Linked DNA regions of Nothobranchius furzeri. Each later gene encodes a partner of the first gene's protein in a complex. Links are inferred from orthologs where the notes say so. Each region holds a gene or a part of one and is shown on either strand. Other genes may lie near its edges.

What was found.
Region 2: yeats2 (region 1) and mbip share a complex: the UniProt entries of both Homo sapiens proteins name them as parts of the ADA2A-containing complex. The link is inferred for Nothobranchius furzeri from reciprocal best matches to the Homo sapiens genes YEATS2 and MBIP.

The regions. Positions count from the first base shown.
Region 1 is NC_091751.1:55,945,866-55,949,517, forward strand, and holds part of yeats2 (YEATS domain-containing protein 2), read left to right. Parts: intron 1-597; coding exon 598-970; intron 971-1,059; coding exon 1,060-1,194; intron 1,195-1,513; coding exon 1,514-1,633; intron 1,634-2,652; coding exon 2,653-2,794; intron 2,795-2,872; coding exon 2,873-2,949; intron 2,950-3,027; coding exon 3,028-3,107; intron 3,108-3,549; coding exon 3,550-3,652. UniProt on the Homo sapiens protein: Chromatin reader component of the ATAC complex, a complex with histone acetyltransferase activity on histones H3 and H4. YEATS2 specifically recognizes and binds histone H3 crotonylated at 'Lys-27' (H3K27cr).
Region 2 is NC_091758.1:21,137,004-21,140,755, forward strand, and holds the start of mbip (MAP3K12-binding inhibitory protein 1), read right to left. Parts: upstream 2,474-3,752; 5' UTR 2,435-2,473; coding exon 2,315-2,434; intron 1,528-2,314; coding exon 1,411-1,527; intron 1,245-1,410; coding exon 1,065-1,244; intron 503-1,064; coding exon 406-502; intron 50-405; coding exon 1-49. UniProt on the Homo sapiens protein: Inhibits the MAP3K12 activity to induce the activation of the JNK/SAPK pathway. Component of the ATAC complex, a complex with histone acetyltransferase activity on histones H3 and H4.

The DNA of each region.
Region 1 (3,652 bases):
AGAAGTGTGTGTGTGTGTGTTGTCAAATTACTGGTCCTAGTTATTTTTCATTCTTATCTCAAGTGTGGCTTAATCTAATCAATTCACACTTTTGGACCAGAATATTGCTTATAAGTTACAACAAAGCCAGGTCACCATAAACCTTTCATTTCAATGCCTCCTTTATTGTCCTCAAACGAGTGTAGGTCGTGTTGATGTTCACTCTAGTTGTTGCTCTTTGCTCTGCCTCCAAAGCCATCATTCTCTTACTTTAATTTCCAGGCTCCGCCATGATGCCAACAAAAAAGTAAACTATTTCATCTTGCACTATTTATTGACGGCCGGTGAAACTGAAATGGCTAACAGCTAGCCTTTATATGAGCTACCAGCACAGTAGACGTTTATTGTCGTAAAGCAGGTAGTACCCCTACCGGAACCACAAAATATTTAAGAGCAGTTTCTGGTCAGCAGAGGGCTGCAGAGTGCTGTCAAAATTTTATTTATTTAAAACATAAACTATGTCAGGATTTTTTTTTTTCTGCTTTATACATGCATGAGAGGTGCAGTATTTCTGCACATTTTTTTGGTTGACAGATGTGTTTCTGTATCTTTATCCAGGCTGCTGATGGCGGGAAGTCTGCCTCCCAGCAACAGCAACTGCTGGTGTCAGCCAGCCAGGCGGCAGTAATCAGCGCAGCTAAGAACGCCGGCACAGCCAGCGGCGGCAGTCTGTCCAAGGCAGCTGTGGCCTCTTTGGTCAAAGGAGCTGGAAGCTCCGCCTCCCCAAGTAAGAGTGCAGGAAGTTCAGCCGTTGCCGCAGTGATGGTGGCAAAAGGTGTCACAAATTTGCCCGTCATGAGCACGTCCAAAGGAGCTGGAGCTGGGACTGTGGTGGGGGTGTCCAAAAGCAGCAACACTCCATTAGTTTCTGCGGCGTCGTTAGTCAGCGGAGTGGCAGCTGGAGCAGGAAAAACAAGTGCTGCACTGTCAGGTGTGGAGGAACACACCACAACCTACAATCATATGTTTATGCACAACACATGGGTGTGCAAATGATCTCACCTTGTGGTTTTTGGCCAGGTATGCTGAAGATCCAGTCTGCTGGTTCCAGCTCCCAGCAGACCGTTTTAACCATCCCTGCCACCCAGCTGAAGCAGCTAGGGGTTGGAACTGGGTCTGCTGGACTGCAATCCATATTCATGCCTGTCAGTAAAGGTAAGCCCACTCCATGAACACAGAATAATCTCGCTAGTGTTGAAGTTAAACAGAATCCCAAAACTGATCCTGGATTACTTCTTTAGTTGTTCTGAACTTGATGTAATTTTAAAATAAATCTGAGATGCGCTCCATCATCTGGAAATATCTTATTGTTACCAATATCCTCTCATCTCATTTTTTGTCTTACTGTTTACCTAGCAGGACATTGACCCTTCTGTGTGTGTGTGTGTGTGTGTGTGTGTGTGTGCGTGCGTGCGTGCGTGTGTGCGTGCGTGCGTCCGTCCGTCCGTCTGTCTGTCTGTCTGTCTGTCTAAAGGCCCAGTCTCCAATACTCCTCCCTCCTTCTCCTCTTCATCCACTCCTCCTGGAGCAGCTGGAGCCTCCTCAGGTCTTTCCAGCCAGGTCTCCTCCTCCCTTATCCCGCCTTTAGCACAAGGTGAGAGGGGTCCATTGTCACTCCACCCTCTCCTCTCTTTCTTCCTAACTCCATTTTTATGTTTGAGCTGTCAGAATCAAACATTGGCCACTGAAGACGAAGCAAATAGTTTGATAGTTGTGTTTAAAGCTGATGAACATAATCCAAACCATTAGAGTCTTATTAATGGGACATTTAGCTACTTTTTCAATCATTTTCTTGAGCCACTATGTGCTAAAATGACCCTTTACATGGTTAATGAAATGACACCCAGCCCCCATCGCCACCTGTGACCAGAGTATTCCACTTGCAACTTCAGACTGGCGGGCAGCTCTGTTGGGACTTAGACAAAAGGAGTTGACATACCTGGTGCTGCAGTCTGGTTCCAGCACATTTCCTGGATGTTTTAGATTATGAACACATCTGATTTGTGTAATTTAGTGATGAATAATAATAATAATAATAATAATGCATTGAACTTATATAGCGCTTTTCTAGACCCCCAAAGACGCTTTCACACACTCACATTCACACACTGCTAGTGATGATAAGCTACTTGTAGCCACAGCCGCCCTGGGGAGGTTTGACAGAGGCGAGGCTGCCATTTGGCGCCGTCGGCCCCTCTGACCACCACTAACACAGGCAAGTTGGGTGAAGTGTCTTGCCCAAGGACACAACAGCAGGATACCCCTGGTGGGAGCTGGAATCGAACCCATGACCCTCCGATCATGAGGCAACGCGCTCTACCACCTGAGCTACTGCTGCCCCAAATGAATGAATGACTCCTGTAGATACTAAGGAAGGCTGGGGGGAAAGCGAGGAGATAAGTTTTGCTTTCAGTTCTATAAATGGACTCTAGGGGGTGCCAAAAGCAAGCCAAGACTGCCTAGTTCCCTTTAAAATATAAATTACATGTGTTGATTTGTGATGAAATAGTTCAGAGTAATAATCTTTTATACAAGTCTAAATATGTTTGTGATTCCTAATAACATTTATCTCCCCCACATATACACATCTGCTGTCGCTCTCCGCTGCCACAGTGAAAACAGAACCAGGTGCCGTCGCAGCTGGTCCGTCGCCCCTGGCGACGGCTGCTGCTCCAGCCCCTGTCCATGTTGCTTCTGCAGCCACCACCGTCAAACAGGAACAAGGCACAGATAACTCAGCACACTGCCTCATTAAGTAAGAGCAACGCCGCTGTCTCTTTAAACACAAATGCAGATGATGTTCTGATGTTAATCCAAAGCTCTTTCCTCTCAGCACTGAGCACATCGAAACCATGATGCAGCTGCTGACGGCTGTGGTGAAGAAGTTTCCTCTAATTGTGCCAGAAAAAAGTAAATACAATTAGATTTCATATTTATAAACCGACTGAAGACACTCTTTAAATGTAACGCTGCTTTATTTTTACATAGCTGAAGACTCCCATCCCTTTTGTGCCTCCTCAGTAGAACAGTATTATTCTTGGAACATTGGCAAACGCAGAGCGTCAGAGGTAACCTTTTGATTTTGTTTTGATGAAATCTTATGTCCACCTCTCACCGTTATCTTCAGTTTTACTCGTCTTCATGCTGTACTAGCCTCGTGTTTCATCAACATAGTAAATGATTCATTGCTGTTCTTGTGGAGAAGAGAAGTATGACCGTGTTTTTACTCACTTTGATGGAGTACACGACGTGATGATTCGCCGCGGCTGCAGTTTTGCATTTTAATCCGTCTTCCAGCTGCATCTCTTCTCTCTCTAGTTGGATGTGTGTTTCTGCCACATCATCTCTTTGACTAATACTGTATTCTGAGCCGTATGTGGGATACCGTGAATATTAATGCTTATTCATGCATGTTGCTAAATAGTTTAAGCAGCGAGGGTCTACAATGCTTAAACTTTGTGATCGGACTCTTCCGAGTTAAAATGAGCTGATCTTTGGCCGTCTCTGTAGCTTCAGAGAGCGGTGGCGGTGAAGCGTCTGGTTCAGGACGTGCTGGACCGCTCGCCCCGCCTGCAGGCCCTGACGCCCCCGAAGACCAAGGAGGTGGTGCAGT
Region 2 (3,752 bases), on another chromosome or scaffold:
AAGCCTGGGTAAGGAGTGAACACGGCGTCCGTCCTGGCACAGCTGTTTTCTACAAAGGAATCAAATCCAAAACAAAAGTGTAATTAGACTTTCTAAATGTAAGAAGAAAATAGTCATAAAAAAAAACATTAGAAATGAATACACCACACTTGAACTGCAACTTCGTCTGATTTCCATTACTGGCGTCACACACAAGCTTTGAATTTCAAACAGCCTGTGTGTCTGGTGTTTTTCTGGCCAGAGCAGGTTGCGTTTCAAGGCCGAGTGTGTTAGCTACTTCAGGCCCACTCTTGGAGCAGTTCAGCCTGACCTCTCGCCTGTGGAAATCAGCTCTCTCCCAAACATTGGCAATCTGTGTGCAGCCTCCCTCTCCACCCTGCCCCCCAATCTCTCCTCCGTTCTCACCCTGATTGCAGTCGATCACGTTGCAAAACTCGCGCACATTGTTTTCATTGATCTCCATCTGCTTGCATTCCATAAATGCAGATATTCTTCGCTCGATCTGGAGTTACAGAGAAGACAGATAATAAGACACAACGGGTTGATGAGCCACTGATAGCTGTGAAGAATTCAATGTTTTGTCGACTTATTTTTACTGATTTAGAGTAAACAAAGTTCAGCGATTTATGGTTTCAAAAAATATCAAACACAGTGAGAGAAATTATTCCAGATAGCCCAAACAGTTGAATAGATTATCGTCATCATGTGATGGAATAAGAATACGGTTTGCCTGGCTACCAAAATAAATGCACAACAGAATGGGGCCTCTTGTCCTTCATCCACATGCAATCTCAGAGTAATGAGCATCCACTTCATAATCCATCAAGGACCTGGCCCTCTCTCAAACCCCTCCAGCAATGTGGTCCATTCTACCCCACCACAGCACTACAGAACCCTTTATTCTCTGTCAAACCCAGTATCAGAACTCCATCAAGCATTTGCTGCACATCATGTGCACATCCTTGGAACCAATTACTTATGATTATTCATTTGCTTGACAGAGTGTGAAGGGCTCTAAAATATCAGTGCCAGAACAGCTGACAGATCTGTTGACAATGACCAACCTCTGACTTCCCGGCTCGGATCTGAACCATGACGTCATCGCCCGAAGACCCGCAGTCTGCAGCCTCTGAGCTGTGACGCCGGTGCTCGGATGATAGTGACGTGACAATGTTATCCGCCGTGTCTTCCTTCACAGATGTAACATCAGCTTCCACCAGTGACCTCAGGCTTTCTGAAACAGCCTACAGCCAAACAGAAAGAACACTGACTGCTACAAACACATTATAAATTAGTGTTATTATTTCTTTAATTACAACACTAGTGACCATCAATTATACTGTAAATGTGGCACTTATTAGATATTGCAGTCATATGTAACATAAATTAACCAACGGGTGAATGTCTTACCTGCAACTTAGCAATGTGCTGCTGTACACAGCCATAAACACCTGCTTCTGAAGATGACGAAAGTACTACAGCTCCAGGGTTGACCTCTATTCTCAAAGCAGCATCCCCTAATTTCAGCTTTGAGAGAAAATAAACAAGAGTTTCATCAAGTACACATCACCACAGCTAAATAAAAAATATATAGTTCAAAATAGTAGAGGCAGAAAATGCTAAATAATTTAAGTAATTTAACCAACAATTTGGTAATTAAAAAAGAAGCAATTTTTCATAATTTGCTTCTATAAACGGTCAAATTAAATAATCTTATTGTTTTACACTGAACCTTTCTGCTGTGCTAGAAAAACTAAACCATTATTTAGCAAAAAAAAACAGTGTATATAAGACTGAATACATATATTTAATGTCCCTTTAGAAGCCCTGGGTATGAAAAGAGCTAAAGCATCCAGCAATTTTAATAATTTAGACGTAAACACGGGGGGAAATAGAGCAAGGTTAAATATATTTTCTAAGGTAGAAATGCGTTGTGGACAGTGGCATCAATAAACGTTTACCTGCAGGACCAAAAATTACATAATACTGCGTAAAAATGCCAAAAACCGTGAACGTTTACTATATGGAAAAAGAGGGTAAATGAAAATAAGCGTGATTTGAACCTAAACTGACGTGTGACACAAAAGTCTGGACATGTTTTTATTGCACAGAAATACAAATATTAAAACTGAATCTGTTAATTTAGATATAAACCATCGAGCTGACGCTTTCCTACGGCAAAAACTTGATTAACGGACAGTGAATGAACATGAACCGACGAGGCTAGTTGCTAAAAACATTAGCACACCGCTAGGAAACTACTCAGACTGGAATGACTATTCGGAGCGAAGCAGCTGAATCATTTCACACCAACCTCTTTCCCAAAGTCTGAAAGCAGCCCCAGTATTGCGTCCATGCAGTGTTTGTAACTGGACATTTTAGCTGGTTCGCTGGGAGGAGCTTTGCTCTCACTTAGCTTCGTTGTCTCCGCCATTGCTACTCAAACTCATGGAATACTGCGTGCTCATTGGTTGCGAGACGGTGATTTTAATCACGTGGTTGGTGGAACTGCAGGCTAAAATGACGCATGCGCATTAACAGTAGCGCATGAAAGTAAATTCAAAGCACAAAAATAAATGATTTACTGTGTTTTGCTCAGAATTTTGATCTTTAAATAGATTCTGAAACATTAAAAAACCTGTATAGTTTTTTTTGTTTGATCCTAAAGAGGGCTCATCATAGGTAGAAAGATGCTTTTGTTTTTGTTTGTGGAGATTTAATTTCTAGAAGGCTCATTCAGAAAGCAAAAGTCAACTTTTACTAATTTAAACTATTTAATAAACTAGTACAGATGCTTAAAATTGTGAAATATGTTTCAGTATAACAAAAAAGTAAACAATAGTTTAAAAAACAGCAGAGAAAAATAAACAGAAAATGTTTTAACTTTTGAAATGGACATATTATTTAGGTTCAGTATATTTGTTTGCCTTTTCTCAGAGGATGCTCATAAGGTCATGTCTTATTTGTATAAAGCATATAAAATAAGTTTTATTCTTAAAAAACTACTAATGTTTTTATTGTGCTGATTTTTGAGGTGCTTTATGACTTAAACTCTTTTTTAAATCTTGGTTTAAATGGACTTGTCTACATTTTTACAATACTGACTGACATGTCCAAGCCACATTTGCCTACGTTTTCATTCACCTGCTTCTCAAACAGCACAAAGAATGGCTCCTTATTATAAGCACACTGTGCTTCTTACTGCAGAGGACCAAGCAGCAGGGCATTGGGATGGGAACCTGCCCACAATGGTGTATTTCTCTGAGTTGAGTGACTGTGGGAAAATCTCCCTTCTCTATTCAGACATTTTTCACTTCTTTTCATATAATGAAGAGAGAGACTGATGAAGGAAACAACAGAAAAAGAACAATTACAGGCAAAGAGACGGCACAACCATGCACTCAGAACTCAATAATGCTCTTTAGAAAGGTTAATCATTTTAGGAAGGGCTCTGAAGATAAGCCTTTTTAGCTTAATTCATTTGTAGGGTGATATTTTTTCCCGTGAAACAGGAAGAGAACTGTAACACTTGACATGGTTTGACATGCTGAGCAGTTGCTAAATGTTCCCACACAGCGAGGAGCTCTGAAATTAAATACACTGCTCATTTAATTTGCCTGGCTGCAGACCCAAGAGCTGTAATTTTTTTTACCCTTTTAATGAGCTGTATATGTGATTTAAGGTACTTCTTGGAAAATACTTAGAGCATTTTGGTTGAATTTAACTTTTGAAGCCAAATTGCAGATGCTCAT